Sus scrofa: one gene and its partners. The protein of the gene in region 7 purifies or fractionates together with the protein of the main gene of each other region. This does not show direct contact. Links are inferred from orthologs where the notes say so. Each region holds a gene or a part of one and is shown on either strand. Other genes may lie near its edges. The genes, in order: DPF2, RB1, CHD7, HDAC2, RBBP4, CEBPB and SMARCA4.

Evidence for each region.
Region 1: the proteins of SMARCA4 (region 7) and DPF2 purify together in Homo sapiens (affinity purification with mass spectrometry; 13 studies listed by BioGRID and IntAct, counting the BioPlex papers as one, with this or other methods). This does not show direct contact. The link is inferred for Sus scrofa from reciprocal best matches to the Homo sapiens genes SMARCA4 and DPF2.
Region 2: the proteins of SMARCA4 (region 7) and RB1 purify together in Homo sapiens (affinity purification with western blotting; 7 studies listed by BioGRID, with this or other methods). This does not show direct contact. The link is inferred for Sus scrofa from reciprocal best matches to the Homo sapiens genes SMARCA4 and RB1.
Region 3: the proteins of SMARCA4 (region 7) and CHD7 purify together in Homo sapiens (affinity purification with mass spectrometry; 3 studies listed by BioGRID and IntAct, with this or other methods). This does not show direct contact. The link is inferred for Sus scrofa from reciprocal best matches to the Homo sapiens genes SMARCA4 and CHD7.
Region 4: the proteins of SMARCA4 (region 7) and HDAC2 purify together in Homo sapiens (affinity purification with western blotting; 9 studies listed by BioGRID and IntAct, with this or other methods). This does not show direct contact. The link is inferred for Sus scrofa from reciprocal best matches to the Homo sapiens genes SMARCA4 and HDAC2.
Region 5: the proteins of SMARCA4 (region 7) and RBBP4 purify together in Homo sapiens (affinity purification with mass spectrometry; 3 studies listed by BioGRID, with this or other methods). This does not show direct contact. The link is inferred for Sus scrofa from reciprocal best matches to the Homo sapiens genes SMARCA4 and RBBP4.
Region 6: the proteins of SMARCA4 (region 7) and CEBPB purify together in Homo sapiens (affinity purification with western blotting; 3 studies listed by BioGRID, with this or other methods). This does not show direct contact. The link is inferred for Sus scrofa from reciprocal best matches to the Homo sapiens genes SMARCA4 and CEBPB.

Annotation. Positions count from the first base shown.
Region 1 is NC_010444.4:6,876,499-6,879,998, forward strand, and holds part of DPF2 (zinc finger protein ubi-d4), read right to left. Parts: intron 2,072-3,500; coding exon 1,979-2,071; intron 1,793-1,978; coding exon 1,714-1,792; intron 1,205-1,713; coding exon of another isoform or gene 1,163-1,204; intron 152-1,162; coding exon 14-151; intron 1-13. UniProt on the Homo sapiens protein: Plays an active role in transcriptional regulation by binding modified histones H3 and H4. Is a negative regulator of myeloid differentiation of hematopoietic progenitor cells. Might also have a role in the development and maturation of lymphoid cells.
Region 2 is NC_010453.5:19,248,136-19,251,635, reverse strand, and holds part of RB1 (retinoblastoma-associated protein), read left to right. Parts: intron 1-48; coding exon 49-80; intron 81-158; coding exon 159-235; intron 236-1,297; coding exon 1,298-1,494; intron 1,495-3,500. UniProt on the Homo sapiens protein: Tumor suppressor that is a key regulator of the G1/S transition of the cell cycle. The hypophosphorylated form binds transcription regulators of the E2F family, preventing transcription of E2F-responsive genes.
Region 3 is NC_010446.5:72,586,944-72,590,443, reverse strand, and holds part of CHD7 (chromodomain-helicase-DNA-binding protein 7), read left to right. Parts: coding exon 1-81; intron 82-551; coding exon 552-655; intron 656-1,994; coding exon 1,995-2,124; intron 2,125-2,517; coding exon 2,518-2,590; intron 2,591-2,748; coding exon 2,749-2,806; intron 2,807-3,500. UniProt on the Homo sapiens protein: ATP-dependent chromatin-remodeling factor, slides nucleosomes along DNA; nucleosome sliding requires ATP. Probable transcription regulator. May be involved in the in 45S precursor rRNA production.
Region 4 is NC_010443.5:79,870,598-79,874,097, reverse strand, and holds part of HDAC2 (histone deacetylase 2), read left to right. Parts: coding exon 1-109; intron 110-1,128; coding exon 1,129-1,259; intron 1,260-2,231; coding exon 2,232-2,387; intron 2,388-3,500. UniProt on the Homo sapiens protein: Histone deacetylase that catalyzes the deacetylation of lysine residues on the N-terminal part of the core histones (H2A, H2B, H3 and H4).
Region 5 is NC_010448.4:88,985,825-88,989,891, forward strand, and holds the start of RBBP4 (histone-binding protein RBBP4), read left to right. Parts: upstream 1-1,267; 5' UTR 1,268-1,552; coding exon 1,553-1,568; intron 1,569-2,135; coding exon 2,136-2,283; intron 2,284-4,067. Other genes in the region: ZBTB8OS (protein archease), read right to left, coding at 651-747. UniProt on the Homo sapiens protein: Core histone-binding subunit that may target chromatin assembly factors, chromatin remodeling factors and histone deacetylases to their histone substrates in a manner that is regulated by nucleosomal DNA.
Region 6 is NC_010459.5:51,721,357-51,724,173, forward strand, and holds CEBPB (CCAAT/enhancer-binding protein beta), read left to right. Parts: upstream 1-1,276; coding exon 1,277-2,317; downstream 2,318-2,817. UniProt on the Homo sapiens protein: Important transcription factor regulating the expression of genes involved in immune and inflammatory responses. Also plays a significant role in adipogenesis, as well as in the gluconeogenic pathway, liver regeneration, and hematopoiesis.
Region 7 is NC_010444.4:69,716,015-69,720,006, forward strand, and holds the start of SMARCA4 (transcription activator BRG1), read left to right. Parts: upstream 1-1,192; 5' UTR 1,193-1,458; exon of another isoform or gene 1,459-3,992. UniProt on the Homo sapiens protein: ATPase involved in transcriptional activation and repression of select genes by chromatin remodeling (alteration of DNA-nucleosome topology).

The DNA of each region.
Region 1 (3,500 bases), about 63 Mb from region 7:
CACCTCAGCTTACATTTCTGCTCCTCAGACCTCTGGGAAACCGGGGTGGGTGGCTGCGAGTCCTCCTTGTCCTCGCCCTCCTCCTCAGCCAGGTGGGAATGGGCATAGTGGTAGCTGAGGCCTGGTCGGTTCTTGTAACGTTTTCCGCAAACTGAGTGGGTTAAAGATCACAGAGAACGGTGTTAGGACGTGAGAGGGCCATATCCCTGCCCCACTAAGCTGGGAGCTCTACCTGAGGCAAAGGTAACCACCCCCATCAGCTCTGTTCAGGGACAGGCCTTCAGTGGGAGCTGCCTCCCCCTGGCCAGGAACCTCAGGTCCTGGGGCTCTCTGGCTTGCATGGCTCTTTTTACTAACCCCAGCCCAAGGCCATCTCTACTCTTCTGCACAGGCTCTTAGGAAGGCTGAGCCCTTGCCCCATCACCACTTGCCCTGGGAATAGTCTGGGGAGCTCCAAGTCAGGAAGGAAAGGGAATTTCTATAGCCTTGCAATATGGCAGGACAGACAGAGGGAGGAGGGACTCCAAACTTGTTTACCTCTCAGTAAATGCGGGAGGTTCACACTACCCCATATACACCACAGCCCATCTCTGCCCAATGTGGATAAACGAGCAGGGGGTGGACCTCTTGGGGGATCACCTATCAACTAATCTGCTGGAGTAGTTATTCCCCAAAGAAACTCAAAGACACCCCCACATCAGTGCCCCACCCAACCTCACCAACCAGCAAGAAAGCAGATCCCCATGAGGCATCTCGTACTCTTGAGCAGTGATACCAAAAAGAGCAAGGGGGCAGCAGAAAAGGGACGAGGAAGGGATGGGTGGAGGAGGTGGCGGATGGCAGGGAACATTAGCTGACCACCATGTGTCTGTTTTGGGGAAGGGGCAGCAGAGGGATCTGTTTGTAATGCGTTCTTTACAACGCTTTTGAAGCCACCCCATGCAGTGGGCCCGAGCAGCCCTAGGAGCAAGTCTGTGGGAGACAAGCAGTGGTAAAGGCAGCTTCCAGGGCTGTGAGGAGTGGAGCACAACAGAAGGCCCACTGCTCCTATCCGCATGCCATTCCACAGTTTAAAACCAGCATCACAGATGAGAAAGGCAGGAACAAGGGAGGTGGGACAAGGGATAGGAAAACCAAAAGTCTGAAAAGTTGAGAGAGCTACCTCTCTGGGGCGCTTTCGAGGTATGCTTTTGTTTGAAACTATCTGAAAGACAGAAAGAAAAGTCATGAGAAGAAGGCCTTGATACACTCGAGACAGGTGCGGCAGCAGCAGGAAAGCAGAGCAAACGAGAGAGAAACCTCAGCGGCGATGGTGCTCCCAGGGTAGAGGGACAGAAGTGGGGCGAGTCAGAGAAAAGGGGGAGAGAGAACAGACATTGAAAAAGTCGGTGTTGGACTCCTGGGGCTCTGGTTCGACTAAGGCAAGCAGACCTGAATGCCATTTATTGAGGCCAACCCTGCCTGCTGGGTGTGCCCCCTATTGGCACCCCCACCCCAGAGGACAGCAGACATCTCCCCCAGAACATGCAGGGCCCACCCGTCGTGTAGCAGAAGCCAGCACCCCTCAGGGATCTCAGAGGGAACCAGTCAGGGGCAGGACAAGAGTCCAGGCTTGTTTTACCATTCTGAGCAAGAACACAACCTTCCCTCCTCTCATATCCCGAGGAGCTGGGTCCAAGGCAAGGACTACCCACCCACTCGCGAGGCACTCACTGTCACAGGCATAGGGTTTGTCCCGATCCTCCAGGATGGAAGCGTCCAGCTTCTTACGGGCACTGCCCACACCTTTACCCTGTGAAAAAAGAGTAAAAAGATGGCTTTAACTAAGGTATCTCAGCCTAAAGAGTTAAGACTCACCTGGAAGCGGCTGCGAATCTCACTCAAGAGGGAAAATGACAACAGGTAATAAAACTGTGGGAAAACAGTAAGCAATAAATCCCCACTCCCTCAGGCTGGAGGCCGCACCCTGGCCCCTCACCTTGGACTTCCCCTTGCCCCGACGCTTGGGAGTGTCTTCTTCATAGTCCTCATCATCGAGGTCATCCAGGAAGTCATCCGGTTCTAGGATCCGCTGAGTGGACAAGAGGATTAGGACAGGCAGAAATAAGGTACTCCCAAAAGCTCCCCGACAACGGGGAGCCAAGGCTGCCCAGAACCTCCTCTGTTTTAGTTCTTCTCTTCCCCCCCGGCCGTACCACATGAAGAAGTTCCCAGGGGAGTTCCCGTCATGGCACAGTGGTTAACGAATCTAATATCCACGAGGAACCGGGTTCCATCCCTGGCCTTGCTCAGTGGGTTAAGGATCCAGCACTGCAGCTGGCCAGCAGCTGCAGCTCCAATTTGACCCCTAGCCTGGAAACTCCCATATGCCATAGGTACAGCAAAAATAAAATAAAAATAGGCGTTCCCGTTGTGGCTCAGCAATAATGAACCTAACTAGCAACCATGAGGATGTGAGCTCAGTGAGTTAAGGATCTGGCGTTGCCGTAAGCTGTAGTGTAGGTTGCAGATGTGGCTTGGATCCCGTGTTGCTGTGGCTGTGGCACAGGCTGGTGGCTACAGCTCCAATTTGACCCTCAGCCTGAGAACCTCCATATGCCAAGCGTGTGGCCCTAAAAAGACAAAAAAAAAAAAAAAAAAAGTTCCCAGGGATCAAACTTGTGCCACAGCAGCGACCTGAGCTACTGCAGTAACAATGCTGATCCTTACTGTACTGACCCACAAGGGAACTCCCAGAACCTCCTCTGTGACCTGGTCCCTTCCCTCCAGCCTCACTGCTGTTCTTTCAATGTTCTGGGTTCTCCTTCCTCTGGGCCTCTCTTCATGTTGTTCCCCTAACTTAGAATGCCTTTCCTACCATCTCCAAGTAGCCAAATCAAATGCCATGTTTTCATAAAACTTTCCCTGATACCCAAGGTAGCCATGCCCTCTCCTGCCTGTGGACTGCCACCCTGGAAGCATGTTATCAGTGGTTCCCTCTGACACTTCATTTCCTACATTTAAATTAGAGCTTTGCTGCTTCCTTGTGGGAAGCTACTTTTTTTTTTTTAAACTCTGCTTCAGCCTCCTTCTACATGTTTTGTTTCTTTTTCACAGCTGCACCTGCGGCATAAGGAAGGTCTCAGGCTATGGGTCAAATCAGAGCTGGAGCTGCTGGCCTATAGCATCGAGGGATCTGAGCCATATCTGTGACCTATGCCACAGCTTGTGGCAACACTGGATCCTTAACCCACTGAATGAGGCCAGGGATTGACCCTTCATCCTCACAAAGACTAACTGGGTTCTTAACCTGCTGAGACAGCAGGAACTCCAGCCTCCATATATGTGAAATGGGGTTGTAGAGACTGGAGAGAAGGATGGAAAAGTATTTAGTACAGCACCTGGAATATTTTTAGCTCTCATTATTTTTATGTATAGTTCTATCTTCCTTGTTGGTAAGCACCAAAAAACCTTGGTGACAAAAGAAGACCAATCAATGCCAGAGTTCCCGTTGTGGTGCA
Region 2 (3,500 bases), on a different chromosome or scaffold from region 7:
CCAACACAAAAAAAGTTTCAGTTAAATATTTTTCTTTATCTGTTTTAGGAAGAAGAACGATTATCCATTCAAAATTTTAGGTAAATTCTTGTTTTTGTAAAACAATTTCATCTTTTTATAAAAGTAAATGTTACAAAATCATTCTTTTTTTCCTTTAGCAAACTCCTGAATGACAACATCTTTCATATGTCTTTGTTGGCATGCGCTCTTGAGGTTGTAATGGCTACATATAGCAGTAAGTTAAATTTTAGTAAATAAACATTTTAGTTCAATTTAAAGTTAAAAAAATTTAAGGTGTGGTGTGGGGTTTTTTTTGTTGTTGTTTTGTTTTTTTTGTTTTGTTTTTTTTTAGTGGGGCAGTGGAGGAGTTAAGGAGAAGAAATGCATATTTTAGCTCTGTGTATACTGAAGAATGTAATTGGTCACCATAAACCATGCAAGTGCGTTACTAACCTGAATTATTTCAGGTCATCTTGGGAATAGTTTCACTAGGCTCCTATTCTAGGCTATACAGAATCCAGGAACTGTACCTGTTGAAATCTCTTCAAAGACTTATGAGATTATAAAACACCAGAGGATTATTATCAAGCAGCTTCCACTGATATGGAAGTACTGCCACATATGTATTCTATAGCTACTAGACTAAAGGTTGGAGGTAGAATCCACCAGATAAACAAAACAGAGGCCATCAGTACTGGGGTTTTTTGTTTTTTGTTTTTTTTTTAATATAACTTTAAACATGTATTATTTTGCGAATAATGTTGCAAATGTCAAGAAAGTTTTGTTTGCAAAAAAAAGAGAGAAAATCTTCTGATACAAATATATAAGAGAAACTTAAATTAGTAAACAAATGTGGGCAACTCTGATCCTCATTGATAACCAAGAAGTGCACACTTTAAAAAGATACCATTTTCTAACCAAATTAGCAAAATCTTAAAGGATCTTTCCCCCCTTAACCACGGATTCATGCGACAATTAAAATGGATAGGCTAAAGCCTCTTAGTTGTTAAACCTGTCCCTGGTACAAGTTTAGGGTATTTAAACCTTTAAATGTTTGGTATAAGCTGTTAGCCGTCTATCTAGGAAAGACATATATGCATATACACTCAAACTTTGAAAGCCTATTTCCTGTGAGTCTCTGGACCCCAGGATAAAAAAATTCTAAATAAAAAATTTTGCTAAGCCTTTCTACTCTGTTTTAATATATTTTTTTGATTAAAAACTTTCCAGCCAAAAAATATGTAGTGCAAAGCTTTGCATTTCATACCTGAGTTACATTTTTTTCTTTCATTTTTAGGAAGTACGTCTCAGAATCTTGATACTGGAACAGATTTGTCCTTCCCGTGGATTCTGAATGTACTTAATTTAAAAGCTTTTGATTTTTACAAAGTGATTGAAAGTTTTATCAAAGCAGAAGCCAACTTGACCAGAGAAATGATTAAACATTTAGAACGATGTGAACATCGAATCATGGAATCCCTTGCTTGGCGCTCAGTAAGTAACTAGCTAAAATAACTAGATATTCATATGCATAGAGATAATTCTTATCTGTTAGTGAAAGGCATTTGTTAAAATTTACCTCAGTAGTAAATATGCAATTTAATGAATAATGTGTTTTCAGTGTATAGCCCAAGAATCAAGTGGAGTTTTAGAATGGAGTTTTCTTTGAGTTCCCCAGACTATCTGATACAGGGATTTATTTAGGAATACCTTTTCTTAAAGCTTGGCACTTTAAAACAGAGCAGAATTCTCTAAAGCTTCACAGATAAGCAAAAGCTAAGAGACTTCAGCAACACTAAACCAGCTTTACAACAAATACTAAAGGAACTTCTCTAGACAGAAAAGAAAAGGCCACAACCAGAAACAAAAATACGACAAATGACAAGGCTCACCAGTAAAGGCATATATATATATATATATATATATATATATATATATATATATATATACAGTAAGATACGAAATCATCCACGCACAATTATGCCACCAAAATCAGAGATCGTGAGAAGAGGAGGGTACAAATGCAGGACACTGGAGATGCACTTGCAATTAAGAGACCAACAACTTAAAACAATCTTACATACGTATAGACTCATATCAAAACTTCAGAATAACTGCAAACCAAAAATCTACAATTGATACACAAACAAATAAGAAAAATCAACTCAAATACAACACTAAAGATAGTCATCAAACCACAAGAGGAGAGAACAAGAGAAGAAGGGAAAAAAGAGCAACAAAAACAAATCCAAAACAGACCAGAATTCTTTAAAGTATTTGAGAAATTTATTTAAAATAGAGGTGTCATGTTGAAAATTCTCATGTCTGCTCTTAAATTCAGCAAAATGATTAAAAATTTGAGTTTCATGTGCTAAGCATACATCTTTTCATTTAAGTTAGTATGTAGAAATGACAGAAAAATAATGACTTCAGTTAGATTAGAGTTTTAATCTGTCCATGTAAATTTTTTAATCTTTTGGTGTTTTAAAATGTAATGGCTAAGAGATAACTTGTTTCGTAGTGCTTTTCTTATGCTGGGGTGTAGAGAGAGTGGATAGAAAAGGAGAGAAGTAGGGGAAGTTGATAGATGTTGTATTTCGGTGATTGAATATAGTGACTCCTTTACTGGAGCTTCCACTTTATAAGTAAAGGAGTGGTTAGGAGCAAACGCTCAGAATCTGTAGCTTAAATGAAAGTAACATAAATAAAACAAGTAGATAAGAATACTTTTCAGATGCTGCTCTCCTTTCTTCCCCAAAATTGAAACCAAGGCACTATTGTATCATCTGAAAGTGACTATTGTCATTTCTTGTAGAGAACTACTTTTATTTCCATTAGTGCACATCTGCCGTGTGCCTTTCATTGAGGTAGACGTTGTGAGGATATGAGCTCTGAAAAATCATAGAGGAAATAGTAGCATTGTACTGTATAAAAATTGCTCGTGCTTAAGCCCATTTAGTTCAGTTACTGACTTCTAAGATTCTGAACAACATTCCTTTATTTTTGAGGATTTGTTGAGAAAAAGTTACATGAACAAAGTCTAGGAAGAGGGTATTTTTTTTAATAATAGAATGATGTGGAAGTCATATGCTTCTGAATTTAAATTCTAAGTGTGGTATTTATTGGGGATGAAATTATAGACAGTTTTTCATGTTTCAATTTTTAAAAAATCAGCAAATACTGCTTTTTCAATCATAAACAGAATGGAGTGCTAGTGGGTAACTGTGGAGATAAGTCTGCCACACAGATGATGTGAATTTTTCCTATTGACAGTAATTAACATTTCAGAGAAGAGACATACCATAGATATATTTGGACTTTCAAAGACTTGAGGGTGTTTTTTTATTTGTCTTTTTAGGGCTGCACTCTCGCCATATGGAGGTTCCCAGGCTAGGGGTCTAATCAGAGCTGTAGCCGCTGGCCTATGCCAGAGCCACAGCAATGCCAGATCTGAGCCTCGTCTGTGACCTACACCACAGCTCACAGGCTGCGCCAGATTC
Region 3 (3,500 bases), on a different chromosome or scaffold from region 7:
GCGTGTCCGCATGCTCTACTACCTGAGACAGGAAGTGATAGGGGACCAGGCCGAGAAGATCCTGGATGGTGCTGACTCGAGGTGGGTGCGAGCCCACGTCTCTCGGTCCAAGACAGCGGCGATGGCCCGGGGTGTGGGTGGGACCGCATCACAGACCGCCTTTCCCACCCCTGTCACCCAGCAGCAGCGCATCTCCCTTCTTGCGTCTCGAACGAACGCAGTGTTTGTCCTCCCAGCCCCGGGGACGTGAAGAGAATCAGGAGAAGCCTGTTTGTATGTGTGTGTGTGGACGTACAGGGAGGCGGGAACCGAGTTAAGGGTGCTCTGAGATGACCTTTATGACAGGACGCTGGGTGATGAAGTTCATGTCTATCCTGCTAGAAGGCGGCTGACTCCTGCCCTTTCTTTTAACCTTTGCTTGTTCCCCACGCGCGCGCGAGCCCTGCTCAGGTGCTGCTGGTGAGCAAGGGGCGTGTGTTGTATTCATCAGGCAGCAGCCTTTTTGATGCTGGTATTTGTCCTAAATATGACACCCACGGTTGTCCTTACAGTGAAGCCGACGTGTGGATACCTGAGCCCTTCCACGCAGAAGTCCCCACAGACTGGTGGGATAAGGAAGCTGACAAGTCGCTCCTGATTGGAGTGTTCAAACACGGTAAGGGGTGTCTCTGCTGGACCCCAGCTTGACCGTGGGGCTTTGTCTCTGTTTTAGAGCCTTTTGCACACTCTTTCCAAAGTCATAATATTCATGAGGCTAGTTCCAAAGGACTCTTGGCGTCTACCATTTTCCTGTACTAAAAAATCTAATATGAACTGTAAATATCAGATGCTGTTTTTGAATGTTTGTTGAGTATTTGAGAAGAAAACATTTCTTTCTTGGCTGTAAATAAAACCCAAACCATATTTGTTTTAAAACCAGCCCAGTTCGTCCTATAGCTCTCCCTAAACTTTGCTTCCAACCCGGCTCCCCTTGCGAGCTCTGCCAGCCCGTGTCAAAGTGGACGGTGGGCTTAACCTCTGCTATTAATCTGTACAAGTGCCTCCTGGGCTTTGTTCCAAGCAATATTTCACAAATGTCAGTGCGGAGAACTCGGGCTCCCCGGAGTGGGATGCAGCCTTGTTAACTTTGAAAGGCTGGGGAAGCAGAACTGGCATGATCTATACAGTGAACGATTCCTGATTATAATCCCAGGTCTCTGGAGGTCGCCGAGGTATTCTCAGCAGCCCAGCCTGACTAAAGGGGAGAATGATGGCTTATAAAACCTTTCATGATTACAGTTTGGCTTGCGGCTCTACAGCAGTTAGGAGCGGTGTGTTGTCGTACACATCCTAATTGAATTGTGCTGTTCTGCTTATGTACTGCAGCCGTGTTTTGTGAGCTCAGCCTAAAAATCATTTTCCCGCAGTGCACTGTTGGGATCTGCCATTTTCCATCTAGTCAACTTGGGCAGTCAAAAAGCAAATTGCAGTTTGAAAACCATAGAGGGAACAGTGTCATCTTCCTGACATGCATCATCCTAAACCTAATAAGACAGGTTCGCTGGCCTTCCGCAGACAGGGATTTCTCAGCTAGTGGTGCAAGTTCCTGCAGGACCGAAGCTGTTCACAAGGAGGGTGGGGTGGACCGTTGCAGAGGTCATCAAGGAACATTACGAAGCCTTTTAAATGCCAAGCAAAATGAGATCCTGGGGACAATAGGGTCAAACATCTTCCCAGGCCTCTCGCAGTTATTCAGAACCCGTTCTTCTGTTAGTATTCATGGTCATTCTGATGACATCCCTGTGATGGAACCTGCCCCCTCCCACCCCCAAATCTGCCCTGGGCTGAGCGTTCCAGAGAAAGGGCTACTGCAGCCCGGTTCCTTTAAATACAAAGTAAGTGATCACCTCGATGGTGAAACGAACGTGCTGTGTTGCGGCGGTGCTGTGATTCTGGCAGTGACGGGCCTTCCTTGTTTCCGTGTGTGTCCTCTGCGGGCCGGTGGGACGGCACAGGGTATGAGAAGTACAATTCCATGCGAGCTGACCCCGCGCTCTGCTTCCTGGAACGAGTTGGTATGCCCGATGCCAAGGCCATCGCTGCCGAGCAGAGAGGAACAGACATGCTAGCAGATGGCGGTGACGGGTAAGAAGGACATTTTAAAATTTTAATAAACTTTATGTCAGTGTCACATCTACTGGCAGGGTTCACTTCCTATGCCGCACCGTGCATTACATTGCATCTGATTTGGACTTAAGTGATGTTTACCAGTTTAGTCTGTTTATATATCATAATGACTATTTCAACACAATATATGATCTAGATAATCTGCAGCTTGTCTGTCTTTTCCAAGTGATGACAGTACCCCCACCCACCCACCCACCCTTCACGGCTGCACGTTTTAAATACCAATAGAGTCGCTTTTGATGTCAGACTCTGAATTTAAAGTAGCATCAGACAGGTTCTTACTCTTTCCCAGGCTCCCTTCAGTCTCTTGCTAATCAGTATGATTTCAACATTTTTAAAAATTTTATATAGGGGAGAATTTGATAGAGAAGATGAAGACCCAGAATACAAACCAACCAGAACGCCATTCAAGGATGAAATAGATGTAAGAACTTGAGTACATTGACTTTTACAGCCCCAGTAAAATATTATGTGCCCATATAAGACTTGTTAAACTTTATAGATGATGGCCTTTTCTTTAAAAGATAAAGCAAAATTAAACTGCAAATTAAAATAATTTCTCTTTCTTGCTTTGCTTTCGAGGAATTTGCAAATTCTCCTCCAGAAGATAAGGAAGAACCCATGGAAATACGTGCCCCAGGTAGGGCTCCCTGAAAGTGGGGGGCATGGGTGCTGACGAGTCAGGGACAGGCCCTGCCCCCCAGCGGGGCTGCTGCTGCAGCTTCACAACAGCCAGGTCTTATTTAGAGAGTGAGTTCATCTACACAGCCTCATCTCTTCTGTGAAGAATTTTAGTTCTTGCTTATTCTTGGTTTTTCATAACTTTGAATTTCTTTGATAACATAACTGTTTTGGGGATTAAGGTCATTTATATATTTGTGTTTTACAACAGCTGGTGAGAACTTTTAAGCATCTTTAGAAGTATAGTTTTTGTGAGCAAACCATTTGCTAAGTACCTGAAATAGTGCCAGTTTATAGAGACTACTGCCCTGTTTGCCTAACGTAAAGTCGTTAGCTGACAATTGTGTGATTATTTCTTATGTTCAAGGCAATTACATCAGAGGAGAGCACCTTTATCATATAGTTCATGGCCTAAAGTATGTTTCTTTTTGTGTACGATTGGTAAATGAACTTGGTGGTTCCCCCCCCAGTTGACAAAGAAATGGTTTATAAGTTGCATACTAATATTATTCCTTAGTATATTTTCAAAAGGAGGGCACTGCAGTGCCCTTCCCCACACTGTCATTGGAATGTTAACGAGTCACCTTGTTTTGATGGAAAACCCCGAGTTGCGGCACGGTTGCAGCTGCAAGTTTCAGGAACCTTTTCTCGCT
Region 4 (3,500 bases), on a different chromosome or scaffold from region 7:
AATTGCCATATAATGATTACTTTGAGTATTTTGGACCGGACTTCAAGCTGCATATTAGTCCTTCAAACATGACAAACCAGAACACTCCAGAATATATGGAAAAGATAAAGTAAGACATCATTGAATTGATTTGATAAACCCTCATCTTGATATAGCTTTAGGAGCCTTTCGAAGGCCAAGTGCAGTAGGTCATGTTAAGCTTTATATGTAAGGTATTTATCTTTGTCAAAAGCAGTTGAAAACTTTATTGATTTAATTTTATACGATAATGGAGAATGTATGGGATTCATACATTTTCGGAGTTTTCAGAGTTCCCATCATGGCGCAGTAGAAACGAATCCGACTAGAAAACTGAGGTTGCGGGTTCAATCCCTGGCCTCTCTCAGTGGTTTAAGGATCTGGCATTGCTGTGAGCTGTGGTGTAGGTCACAGAGGTGGCTCAGATCCCACATTGCTGTGGCTGTGGTGTAGGCTGGCGGCCACAGCTCTGATTGGACCCTTAGCCTGGGAAAACTCCATATGCGGCCAGTGCATCCCTAAAACAAAACAAAACAAAACAAAATTTACATCTTGTATTAGTCGATATAGATTTTTCTTACTTTCTGGCTAGCTTGCAGCATATGAAAGTTCCAAGCCACGGAACAAATTCAAGCCAGAGTGCACCAATGCTGGATCCTTAACCAGCTGCACCACGGTGGGAACGCCAAGATGGATTTTTAAATTGAAAAGGACACCAAATTTTAAACTTTCTTGCTTTACACGAAAATGAAATTTATCTGTATTGAAACATTTTGATAACGCTTTACCTTAAAGAGTAAAGTGTTAGACATTGTACTACCCAGGCCTGGGTTTGTGTCCTCTATACCACACAGCAGCTCCGTGACATTTGGCAAGTTAACCTGCCTTTGTGTTTATATTTCCTTCTCCTTAAGATGGGGGGTGAAATATATATCATGTAAATTTTAAGGGTTAGTAATATGTAAAGTATCTGTTTAGTAAATGATAATATTTTACTTCATAGGTTAAGCTAGATAGAAGAGCCAGTTTTTGCTTAATGTTTCCTCTTACATTTAAAAGGGCCTTGAAAGAAAATAATATTTTCTAATAATTGTACATGTTGTAATTTAGACAGCGTTTATTTGAAAATTTACGCATGTTGCCTCATGCACCTGGTGTCCAAATGCAAGCTATTCCAGAAGATGCAGTTCATGAAGACAGTGGAGATGAAGATGGAGAAGATCCAGACAAGAGAATTTCTAGTAAGATAGTGCCCTTATGTGGGTTCTGTTATATTTTCTGGTTTATTAAAAGATCACTACAAATTGAAGGTTTTTTTTTTGGTGGCCCAAGAACCTCACTGTGGTTCACGTTTCGTGAGTATACTATTACTACTGTCTTTTCTTGCCCTCTTTAATCTTCCATAGATTTAATTTCCACTGTCTCAGAGCCTAATTTGAGTATCAGCAATTTCAGTTTATATAACTACATATATGATCAGAAGTTTCCACAAATGAACCATTTATGTAGAGTGAGTTGAATGACATTGAGCACCTTCTGTTTGATGTTACAGTCTCTAATTTCACTTGCTATGATGTGTAGATTTATAGCATAATTGTGTGGTCTATACTTGGTGTTAACAGTATTTTTTATTTCTCTCTGCTCTGAAATAAAAAGGTTACTTTTTATATGAAGATATCATTCCCACTTCCTATTAGGAAAGCACAATTTTTTTTTTCCTCTTAAGCAGTTTGTTTTGTTTTTTAATGAGGAGTAACTTTGAATTACTCCTGGATTAAAGCTGTATTTTCAGAATTTAGCAAGCCATACATTCAGTTCTTATCTCAAAATCATTAGGCATCTGTTATCCAAATTTTTTTTCTTTATAGGGCTGCACCTGTGGCATATGTAAGTTCCCAGGCTAGGGGTCGAATCAGAGCTGTACCTGAGGCCTACGCCACAGCCACGGCAACACTAGATCAGAGCTGCATCTGCAACCTGTACCACAGCTCACAGCAACATTGGATGCTTAATCCACTGAGCGAGGCCAGAGGTCAAACCTGCATCCTCATGGACACTCTGTCTGGTTCTTAACCCACTGAACTACATCGGGAACTTCTATACTTTTAAATGTTGTAACTGGCTAGTTCATTTGTACAGGAGTGCACTATAACAGTTGTCAGACATTGAGATTGCTTTTGTCAAAACTATATTAAAAATCTTTAATGTATTAGTTCGAGCATCAGACAAACGGATAGCGTGTGATGAAGAATTCTCAGATTCAGAGGACGAAGGGGAAGGAGGCCGTAGAAATGTGGCTGATCATAAGAAAGGAGCAAAGAAAGCTAGAATTGAAGAAGACAAGAAGGAAACAGAGGACAAAAAAGCAGGTAAATGTGTTTTAATTGTAAATTTTTAAAAATGAGCTGCACTGCAGTTGTTACGAGATCCTGAGGTCAATTGCACGGGTATTGGAGAGGGGGTAGGTGTGCCAAGTAGGTGACACCCCCCCCATGTTATTTAGAGCTAAATGTTATTAGTCACATTTGCTTTTATAATATAGGAAACGATCTCTTCTTAGTGACATAGGCTTAAAATAGTCAACATTGCATTATGATACAGATTGGGTAAGAGAGAGGACAAGGTAGTTTTAGATCCATTTGTAGCCTGTCAGCAAAGCTGAAATCCTAAGAGAGTTTTTAACTACCTGTAAGTTTATTTGATAGGAATAAAACACAAAAGGGCCACATTATCTATCCTTATACCAGTTTCACCATTTTGAAAAGGCTCAGAGAATAGGCTTTGTTCAGAAATTGTTTGAAGGAAACAAAAACTATAGAAAGGAAGGGATTTGGAAGCTGGGCTGGGAGATCATAACTTTCTGATGTCTTAACTTTAAAAATGCTGTCAGTTTATTGAGAAAATAGATGCTTTAGGGCATTGAATTTGCTACCAGAAAGTATTATCTTTTTTCTGAGTTCCCGGAGCACTAATACATACCTTGATCATTTTATTTTATTTTAAGACATCGTAGTATAGCACCTCATGAGGGATTTTATATAGCTCTCTGCTGGATTGACGTGTTCATGGCTAGAGAATACAGTGTCTTAAATCTCTGTATTCTCAGCACCTGGTGCATTTCTTTTTTTGTCTTTTTGCCATTTTCGTGGGCTGCTCCCATGGCATATGGAGATTCCTAGGTTAGGGGTCCATTTGAAGCTGTAGCCGCCAGCCTACACCAGAGCCACAGCAGTGCAGGATCCGAGCCGCGTCTGCAGCCTGCACCACAGCTCACAGCAACGCCAGATCCTTAACCCACTGAGCAGCAAGGCCAGGGATTGAACCTGCAACCTCATGGTTCCTAGTCGGATTCGTTAACCACTGCACCATGACTGGAACTCCGTGGTACATTTCTTGATGGATACCTGATACCAATGTGCAGTAATGGCAGTGAGCACAGGTTTCAGTTGACCTGTTAATTTTGACCATGTAGCTTGTAGAAA
Region 5 (4,067 bases), on a different chromosome or scaffold from region 7:
GTAAGCTATGGTAAATAGTTGGATTCTATACTGAAGACAAGGGGAATTTAATGAAATATTTTAAGCAGGGATATTAGAGTCAGATTAGTCCTTCCCAGACCACAGCCACCTTTAGGGATGATAGCTTAAGGTTTATATAGAACTTCAGAGTCTGCACTACACTTTCACATTTATTTTTATCTCAATTATCCCTCACATGAAGGAACTGAATGCAAAGAAAGGTTATGTGATTTGCCTAAAGTCACTTAACTAAATATGGCAAAACCAGGTCTTTTTACTAACACGATACAGGTAAAACACCAAGTTAGAAGTTCCCTACTGAGAGCTTTCAGTCCCCTAACCTAGCCACACTCTTAGGAGACGACAACTCCGCAAACGCTTGAAAACACGGTTGTGTTTAGAATTAATACACCAATAAAATTCCCACAAAGTAAGCGTGAATAGGCACACGTAGAAAAAGTTCAAAAGACTAAATGTGGAAGCCCAGATTTCCGATTCAGACCGGGTGGCTTTTCCCTTCAGCATCCGCGGGACAAGCACAGAAGAGACAAACAGGGCTAAAAGGGAACGTGCCGGAAGTACCGTAGGGGACAAAGTGGAAGGCGAGGCCAGAAGCCCCAGGTAATGAGAGAAGTGAGACACCTACTCACACTCGTACTTCCGATTGACTGGAGGATACTTGGCCTTGATCGCCTTCTGCTCCTCAGTCAAATTGTAATCTCTAAAATCTTCCCCTTCCAGCGCCATGATTGTGCTTTTGGACCCAAACTCAGCTTCCGCCCTTCTTCAGCTGGACTTCGGCCCTGACTTATAACTTCCGCTCTAGACTCCGCCCCTTGGCACACCCTTAAAGGACCAGGGCTCCATTCCCTGGGAGGTACTTAATCCTTCTAGACTTCCGTTCTGTGTCCCAGGGTTTGGAGCACATCATTAAAAGTCGAAGGACCCACTTTCTGCTCTTGCTTAATAGTTCTTCCTACGACTAAGGAAACAAATAATTTGGAGGACGTGGAATAAGGGACACGAATTAGACACCTTTCGATCTGAATGATAGAGGCCTTTTCTTGCCGCCTAGCCCCACAATAGATAACTAGACCCGGAAGCATCCTACATTTTCCCATCTAAAGTACTACTTTGAAGGGGTCGCTAGCTTAACACCCTTCACGAAAATGGCTGCCCCCAAAAGCGTGCGGACTAAACCTCTCACGTGACCCCGGGCGGGTGCACTTCTACTACTCCCGCGCGCGCGAGCGCGCGCGCGTGATCGGAGGAAGTCGGCTTGGGGCCGTGTGGGGGCAGGGGCAGAGCGCGCGCCTGGGCCTGGAGGCAAGCTGCTCCGCGCGTCTGGATAGGCTGCGATCGCGGCTTCCCCGCCCACACCGACGTTCGGCGCACTCCGATTGGCCGATGTTGGCGCGAAGGTGCGCGAGTCGGCCCTCACGCAGGGGCAGCAGGAAACAATAGAGGCCGCGCGCGCAGAAGGAGCGCTCGCAGCCTCCCCGCCCCTCTCGCAACGCTCTGCCCCAGGATCCCCCCGGCTTGCCTGTACGCCATGGCGGACAAGGAAGGTGAGGGTGCCGGGGCCGCCCCAGGAGGGCGGGAGGAGTCAGGCTTGCGCCGCGGCCTCAACGCGGCCTAACGGTGGGGGCAGGCCAGACTCTGCCTAGGGCCGTCCCCGCCATCGCAGGCGTGAGGAAAAATCGCCCCGCGGGGCGGGCTCATGGCGCGCCAGCCCCTCTGGAGCGGAGGCCCGGCGCAGCGGTGTGAGGCTGGCCGTGGTGGCCTCGGGGGGGGTGTTTGGTCCCTCCCGCGCTCCCCGTCGGTCTACCTGCCTCTCTCCGGGTCCTCCCGGCCGCTCTCCCTACCCGCAGGGGTCGGTGCTCGGTCTCACCGTCGGTTCTGTGCGCTCGACGGCGGGCGCCGTCGCCCGAAGGGCTAACGGAGTGTCTGGTCGGGATTACCCGAGCAGTTCCCGCCCGGCGAAGCTGGAGAGCGGTGGTGGTGCCTGCGCCTCCGGGAGATCTAGACTAATCTCCATTTCAGAATCAGGATTCAGGAGCCGTGACGGTAGCTTTGGAAGTGTTTACTCGGTTTCCGTTTGTGGTCGCTAACTTAATTTGTTCTTAATTTTTTAGCAGCCTTTGATGACGCAGTAGAAGAACGTGTGATCAACGAAGAGTACAAAATATGGAAAAAGAACACCCCTTTTCTTTACGATTTGGTGATGACCCATGCTCTGGAGTGGCCCAGCCTAACTGCACAGTGGCTTCCAGATGTAACCAGGTGATAGGAATCTCTCGAATGCTGTTTTGTTGTGTCCTCAGTGTAGATTTCTCACATTGATTTTCCCTGTTTTCCTCTCTCCAGTCACCCGTAGAGGACACGTGATCAAAGCCTATTGGTGACATTTTTTTCCTAGGCCAGAAAGTAAGGCAAAATGTAAAATTATTTTGCAGTTTAGCATATAAGAGAGAACATACTGATGTTTTCTTTTTATTTACTTGTTTTTATTGAGGTACTGATTTACAATGTTGTGTAAATTTCTGCTGTACGGCAAAGTGATTCAGTTATGTTTTTAAAGTACAGCTGATTTTCCATGCTTCTTCGGTTTCTGTTGTATAGCAAAGTGACCCAATCACAGTTTCCTGTGTACACTTTTTTTTGGATATATATTCTTTTCCATTATGGTTTTCCTAGGACACTGAATATAATTTTCTTTGTTATACAGTAGGATCTTGTTTATTACCACTTTCGTGTAGACTAGCTTATTACATCTGCTAACCCCCACCTCCTGCTCCCTCTCCCAACCCCCTTGGCAACCACAAATTTATTTCCTATATCTGAGTCTGTTTCTGTTTTGTAGATAGGTTTGTCATATTTTAGACTCTCCAATATAAATGATATTTGTCTTTCTCTTTCTGATTTCACTTAGTATGATCATCTAATTGCATCCAGGTTGCTGCAAATGGCATTATTTCTTCCTTTTTACGGCTGAGTAGTATTCCATTGTATATATGTACCACATCTTTATTCATCTGTCAGATTGTTCCCATGTCTTGGCTATTGTGAATAATGCTGCTGTGAACATAGCGGTACATGTATCATTTTGAATTATAGTTTTGTCTGGATATATACTGGGGAGTAGGATTGCTGGGTCATATGGTAACTCTATCCTTAGTTTTCTGAGGCATTTACATACTGTTTTCCATAATAGCTGCACCAGTTTGCTTTCCCACCAGCAGTGTGGGAGATGTTTCCTTTTCCTAACACTGAATTGAATAGTGGGATTATAGCTGTAGTTGACCAAATGGTAATGTAAAACTTGTCAGCTTTCAGAAACTATCAGGATGAGTTCAGTTTTTAACATCAAAATGTTTGAATCTCGGCAGTCAGTGGTATTTTCTAGTTAGTTAATGCAAAGGTAAATGTGACATGGTACCTGCTTTCAAGTCTAGTGAATAGGCAGGTATAATTATGAAAGTGGCAAAGATAAAATGATCAGAGAAAGGAAAATTATCTCAACTTGGAATATCAGGAAAGGCTTTCAGTGGGAAGTGACAGTGTGAAAAGGAAGGTGACTTTAAGTAGTATAAAGCTTTAACAAACTGAGCGTGCCTGGGGGAATAATGGATTTTTTATTACAAAACTGTTGGTGTTCAGAGTAACAGCTGAAAGTTATATGTATGCTAAATAACTAGGTTCCTTCAGAACTCAGGTCTTTTGAGTCAAGATATTTGTAAAATGTGGTTGTTGGCCTATGTTTCAGCTCAACAAGTAATAGAAATTTTATAGAAATTTCATTGCCAACTTAATGAGCATGCTACTTTCGTAGTAGCTTTTTAAAAATGGGGAAATCTGGAGTTCCCGTTGTGGCTCAGCAGTAACGAACCCAACCAGTATCCATGAGGATGTGGATTCAGTCCCTGCCCCTGGCAGTGGATTAAAGGATCCAGTGTTGCCGTGAGCTGTGGTGTAGGTCGCAAATGTGGCTCAGATTCAGAGCGTGGCTGTGGCTGGCAGCTGTAGCTCTGATTCAGCCCCTAGCCTGGGAACTTGATGTGCTACAG
Region 6 (2,817 bases), on a different chromosome or scaffold from region 7:
GAGTGTAGGGACCAGGGCTTTTCTTTGAGAATAGTGGGGGACATGAGGCCATCTGACCTGGGGTGTGCTATGCCCCCTCTGGGCCTCTTTACACCCTGGGAGAGGCCCTTCTCTCTGCTGTGCATCTTAGAGCAGAAAGCCTTATGTTTGGGAGTCTGTGGTGGAGACAATAATACAACTAATAATAAGTTTTGAGACCTTCAAGGATTGAAGGTTAGCTAAGTGACCTGCGCAAGGTGACACAGTAATGTCAGAGCTTAGCACCTACACCCCCTTCTACACTTTGGGTGCCCAAGTGGGAGTGGGGTGGGGCTGGAGAATACCCGGGTGTGGTCTGAGGGGGCGGGCGGCTGTGCTGGGCAGGGCTAGGAGAGGGGCAAGGTCGGGCCCCTGGCAGATGCTCCAGTGGAGCTTGCTCCAGACTTGCACTCCCAAAGCCCCCAACCACAAGTCTTCGCATTTAGGAGAGAAGTCCCTATAGGCGTGAAATCCTCTCCTTCCAAAAGTTGGGGACGAGGGCAAGTTTAGGGGCGGGGCCGGGCCCTGGAAGGGCTTTGGAGATGGGCTACCTCTCCAATAGCCAGAGCAGGGGTTTGGGGTCTCCAGGATCCCGCCTGGGGCGCGTCCCCTCCTTAAGGAGTTGGGGCTGAGAGCCGCTGATCTTGAAGCCACGGCCTCCTCCAGCAGGGGGCGGGCCGCGGCCGCGTTTAGGGTGGGGGAAGGCGATGGCGTCGCCCCCTCCCCGGATTCCCCCCTCCCTTCTAGTACAGCCTCCAGCCCAGAGGGGGCGGTCCGGGGGCGGGTTCGCGCCTCTTCTCGCTTCCAATCCTGAGTCCGAAGGGTGGGGGTGGGCAGGGGGCGTGTGGCGGCCCCCGAAGCCGGAGGACCCCCCAAGGGCGCGCTCCAGATCTTCAGTCAGGTCACGGTGCCCCACCGCCGCCCTGCCGGGGGTCTCGGGCGGCCACAGCGTGTCCTCTGCGTGCCCGGGGAGGGGTTGGGGCGGCCGCCAGGCGTGACGCAGCCGTTGCCATGGCCCGCCTTATAAATAACCGGGCTCTGGAGAAACTTTAGCGAGTCAGAGCCGCGCACGGGACCGGGAAGGGGACCCACCCGAGGGTCCAGCTACCAGCCCCCGCACTAATAGCGGCCAATCCAGCGGAAAAAGCAACAGCAGCAGCAGCGACACAGCAGCGACAGTTCGGAGCCAGGAGGCCGCGCCACCTGCGGGCCGGCCGGAGCGGGCAGCCCCAGGCCCCCTCCCCGGGCACCCGCGTTCATGCAACGCCTGGTGGCCTGGGACCCAGCATGTCTCCCCCTGCCGCCGCCGCCTGCCTTTAAATCCATGGAAGTGGCCAACTTCTACTACGAGGCGGACTGCTTGGCTGCTGCGTACGGCGGCAAGGCGGCCCCCGCGGCGCCCCCCGCGGCCAGACCCGGGCCGCGCCCCCCCGCCGGCGAGCTGGGTAGCATCGGTGACCACGAGCGCGCCATCGACTTCAGCCCATACCTGGAGCCGCTGGGCGCGCCGCAGGCCCCGGCGCCGGCCACGGCCACCGACACCTTCGAGGCGGCTCCGCCCGCGCCCGCCCCCGCGCCCGCCTCCTCCGGGCAGCACCACGACTTCCTCTCCGATCTCTTCTCCGACGACTACGGGGGCAAGAACTGCAAGAAGGCGGCCGAATACGGCTACGTGAGCCTGGGGCGTCTGGGGGCCGCCAAGAACGCGCTGCACCCGGGCTGCTTCGCGCCCCTACACCCGCCGCCCCCGCCGCCGCCGCCGCAGCCGGCCGAGCTCAAGGCGGAGCCGGGCTTCGAGCCCGCGGACTGCAAGCGGAAGGAGGAGGCCGGAGCGCCGGGCGGCGGCGCCGCAGGCATGGCGGCTGGCTTCCCGTATGCGCTGCGCGCCTACCTCGGCTACCAGGCGGTGCCGAGCGGCAGCAGCGGGAGCCTGTCCACATCCTCGTCGTCCAGCCCGCCCGGCACGCCGAGCCCCGCCGACGCCAAGGCGCCCCCAGCCGCCTGCTACGCGGGGGCGGCGCCGGCGCCCTCGCAGGTCAAGAGTAAGACCAAGAAGACCGTGGATAAGCACAGCGACGAGTACAAGATCCGGCGTGAGCGCAACAACATCGCGGTGCGCAAGAGCCGCGACAAGGCCAAGATGCGCAACCTGGAGACGCAGCATAAGGTCCTGGAGCTCACGGCCGAGAACGAGCGGCTCCAGAAGAAGGTGGAGCAGCTGTCGCGCGAGCTCAGCACCCTGCGGAACTTGTTCAAGCAGCTGCCCGAGCCCCTGCTCGCCTCCTCCGGCCACTGCTAGCGCGGCCCCCGCGCGCGTCCCCCTGCCGGCCCGCCGGCCTCCGCGCTGCCGGGCGCGCCGCGGCCACAGTGACTCCGGGAAGCGCCCGCGCTCCCGCCCCCGCCCCCAGTGGCGCCGGCAAAACTTTGGCACTGGGGCACTTGGCAGCGCGGGGAGCTCGTCGGTAATTTTAATATTTTATTATATATATCTATATTTTTGTCCAAACCAACCGCACATGCAGATGAGGCGCCCGCCCGTGGTGTTATTTAAAGAAGAAATGTCTATGTGTACAGATGAATGATAAACTCTGCCTCTCCTCCTGCCCCCTCTCCAGGCGCCGGCGGGCGGGCCGGTTTCGAAGTTGATGCAATCGGTTTAAACATGGCTGAACGCGTGTGTACACGGGACTGACGCAACCCACGTGTAACTGTCAGCCGGGCCCTGAGTAATCGCTTAAAGATGTTCCTACGGGGTTGTTTCTGTTGCTGTTGTTTTTGTTTTTGTTGTTGTTTTTTTGG
Region 7 (3,992 bases):
TTTTTAAACTGTCTTGTGGGGGGGTGGGGGTGGCACACTACAGTAGATGCTGGGTATTCACTAGGGACTAAAATTGACAACATCATGCCATTTAAATTGAAGAGAAGGATGCTGTACAGCAGAAACTGACAGGATATTATAAATCAACTATAATAAAAAAACTTAAAAAGGTACCCAAGAAATGTGAAGGAAAGGGAATGGAGGCAGTGATCAAAGAGGAGGCAAGACTGGTGGAGGTGGTAAGTCAACTGAGACCTGAAAAATGAGGAAGAGTGGGCCTGGGAGAAGCAGGGATAGGGACAGTCACAGGCTGTGGGACTTGACTTTGGGGAGCATTTGCTCAGTTGTGGGGCTAAATGAGGTGGGGCTGGAGATACTTTAAAAACATAGAGGAAGCCGCCTACAAGCTCTAGGCCTTCATACTTCTAACAAGGCTCTCTCCCTCACTGCTTTTACTACTGGACTCAAATGTCTTCCCAACGCGGCCTTCCCTAGCTGCCGCTTTAAAATTTCCACCACTTTTCATGTCTCCATTTCAACACAGTGTATTTTATATTTTACTTGGTTCTCTTGCCTCGCGCCTGCCTCCCCCATTAGATCATGAGAGCCACAGCAGCTGAAATTTTATGTCCGGTGCCGCAACTCAACAGCAAATCAATAAATATCTGCTAATTAATAGCCTTACATAGGCTCTGCACAAAAGACAGCCACAGTCCGTACCCGTCAGACTGCCCAAAGGGCACCACATCCCCCCTACCAAGGATGAAAACGGTTCCTAAGTTCGCCCTTGACCCGGAGGCCGGCTCTGCTCATCTCTGGCCCAGCCTCCCCGCCTCTTCCCCTCAAGCACTGCCTTGCATCCTCACTTCCCGGTCTCAGGGCCCCTCTGCCACCCCTTCCCCAAAGACCCTGCCGCCATCCAGTCCCATCCCCCAGCCACCCACCACCACCATCACTACCACCACCACTACCGCCGCCGCAGTGGCGCCCGCTCTGCGCATGCTCGGAGCAGTGGCGACGCACGACGTGCGGAAGGCGAAGAACCACCCCCATGCGCAAGCGCAGGCGCGTCCCGCACAAAGTAGGGAGGTGCGTCCGGGGCGCTAGCTCTCTCTGGCCCCGCCCCCTCCCCACCCCACCCCCGCGGCCGACACGCACGCGCTCTAGGAGCGGAAGGGCGGGCGGGCACGCGCACGAGACCGGGCGGGCGGCGGAAGCGGGAGAGGCGCTTAGTGGTGGGGGGGAGGGGAGGTGACGAGTGCGCGCGCAGCGGGGGCGCGGGTGGCGTGGGGGGGGCGGCCGAGGCCGGCGGGCGCGCGCGCGAGGCTTACCCTCGCTTGGCGGCGGCAGCGGCGGCTTCTTTGTTTCGTGAGAAGAGGCGAGACGCCCATTCTGCCCCCGGCCTCGCGCGGAGGGGCGGGGGCGGCGCCAGGAAGGCGACGGCACCGGCGACTCCCGGTAAGGAACGCAGATCGCGGGGGGAGCGCGGCGCGGGGCTTGGGAGGACGGTTTGAATGGAGCCGGGGTTCCGAGGGGGGAGGGGGCCGCCGGCGCCCGGAGCAGGGCCGGGGTACGGCGGCGCCCGAGGGTCAAGACGCCTGGCCTGCACCGCGCGCGCGGGGAAGGCCACAGTGCATCGAGGCCGCGGCGGCTACAGTATCCGCGGCGGGTGGGGTGGGGGCCCGGGCCGCGTGGAGGCCGCGCGCCCCTCGCGCGCGCTCTCGCCGGGGTCGCCGGACAAAGCTCTTCGCCCAGTCGGCGGGCCACGGGCCCGGCCCCCATCGCGGTCTCAGCTGCGGCTATAACAATAGCCAGGCGTCCGGGCTATTCTGGCTACGTTGTAACGGGTCCGACTCGATTGTTGCCTTTTAACAAGGCTGCGGTCATCGCTCAGTAGGAAAACCCCCAGATATGTCCAGCGTCGCCTGGACATGAACATTAGCAGCACAATTGGTTTAGATGACCTAAAATTTCATTTTTAAAAAGTCAATTTTAGGTTTTCAAGGCAAGGTAAATAACTCTTTCAGCCCCTTGTAAAGTAGTGACTCCAGAATGTTTGCCTTAAATCGGAGGATCCGCAGCTAGTCGGGAAGGACCGGGAGAACTGCTGTTGAAAGCTTTGTTTTAGTTTTCCATCCTTTTCCCTTCCTCGCAATTGATTTTCCAGATTAACGCTTTTATTTAAGATGTGGATCTTTAAGGAGAAGGTGTTTTGTGCCGATCTTGAAGACTAGCCTAGGTAGCCACCCCACGCCCCCACCCCCAGTGAATCCTTAGGTAAAGTAGGGAATAATGTTAGAACCACTTCCTAGGAATTTGAAGTAAGTTTTCACTTTCAATTGACAGACTGGAGTTGGGTTTGATTTCTGGCGTTGCTGGTTACTTAGCTATGTGACCTTAGGCAAATAACTTAATTTTTCTGAACCTCTTAGTTTCCTCATTTGTGAAATGGCAATAATGCCACAAATGGAGTTGGTGAAAGCCAATAAAATGGTTCCTGGTTAGAGGGAAGCACTATTTTGTTGTTCAGTCCAATCTCCTCCTTTATTGTTAAACAAAAGTTTGTTGAGTCCCTACTGGGTGTTAGATGATTGGAGGTTGGATGCCTTGGGAGCCTCTCCAGCCTTGTAGGGGAACAGGTGGTAAATGTGGGGACTACTCCCCTTGGCCTGTCATGTGAGAGGAACACAGTGGATGGATGCCCAGTGATGGGAGTCAGAGATTAGGGAGGTTGCGTGGAAGAGGAGCCTTTACTGAGGATCAGGGAGGATGTCCAGGTTGCATTTGACCATCTGGGACCAGTCATTGCTCCCCTCTGCTATTCTCACATCACCTTGATCCTTTCTTGTGTAGCAGTTATCTGGGTTTGTAATTACACATCTATTCTTTTCCAAGGGCCATCAGAGCTCTCACAGCTCTGTCTCCCTGATCTCCTGAAGCACGTAGTAGGCCCTTAGCAGCCATTTGTGGATGAAGAGGAGGGTGTTCAGGAGGATTGAGTGAAGCTGTGTGTGAAGTGCTTGGCCCACGACTGAAAGTGGGTTGTAGGCGATAAATGTTAGTTGTTGGAGGGTTTTTGTTGTTGTTTTAACTTTCTAGGCCATTGTTTCCCAAACCTCATTCCCCCAAAAATGAAGATGTAGGGCTGTGGTTAATATGAGGTGGTGGTGTGGAGAGCTAGTTCTGGAATCAGACCTCCTGGATTTATACCCATCTCTTAATCCTAGTTTGACCTCAAGCAAGACACTTAACAGTAGACTCCCCTCTTGTGAAACAGGTACGATAGTGGTGTCACCTCAGAGAGTTATTGTGAGAGTTCAAAAGACAGTGTGGGAAGTGGCTTACCATCTGCAGAGCCTGACATGTAATGAGCCCTCAACTTATTGGTGTTTATATTATTTATATATATGTAAATTAGCTGTATAAAAAAACTGAAAACATAATTTAGAGTCATTCTGTATTCCAGAAATCCCGGGTTTGATGTGCTGGTTATATATATTTTCCTAATTTTCTTTAAAATCAATGCATACATAATTGTGACAATAATAAACATTGCTCCACATGCCACTTAAAATCATTTTGTGTCCAACCCGTCAGGAGATGGTGATCTTGAAGGTTTTTGAGCCCAGGGGTGGTTGTGAGCTGACCTCACCAGAGCTTTAGCGGGGGGGCAGTGCAGTGGTCTCCAAATTTGTTGTCAGTGAAAAGCACTTCAACAGGAACACATATTTATTTATTTACCTTTTTTACCTCTTGTGGGTCCTCAAACGTTGGGTTGTAACCCCACACCAGCTCCATGTCCTAGCTCTTTGTGATGTGGGAGACGGGGAGGGACTGGGTGTGTTGGGTGAATGTCTGGTGAGAAGATTTTGCCAGTGGAGAAACTGAGGTCCAGAGCTCTCCAGTCAAACATCCAGGTCTGACGCCTAGCTTTGCTGCTTCCCTCTTGGTGCCTCAAGGAAATAGGGGTGACAGTGCCTGGCGCTTTGTAA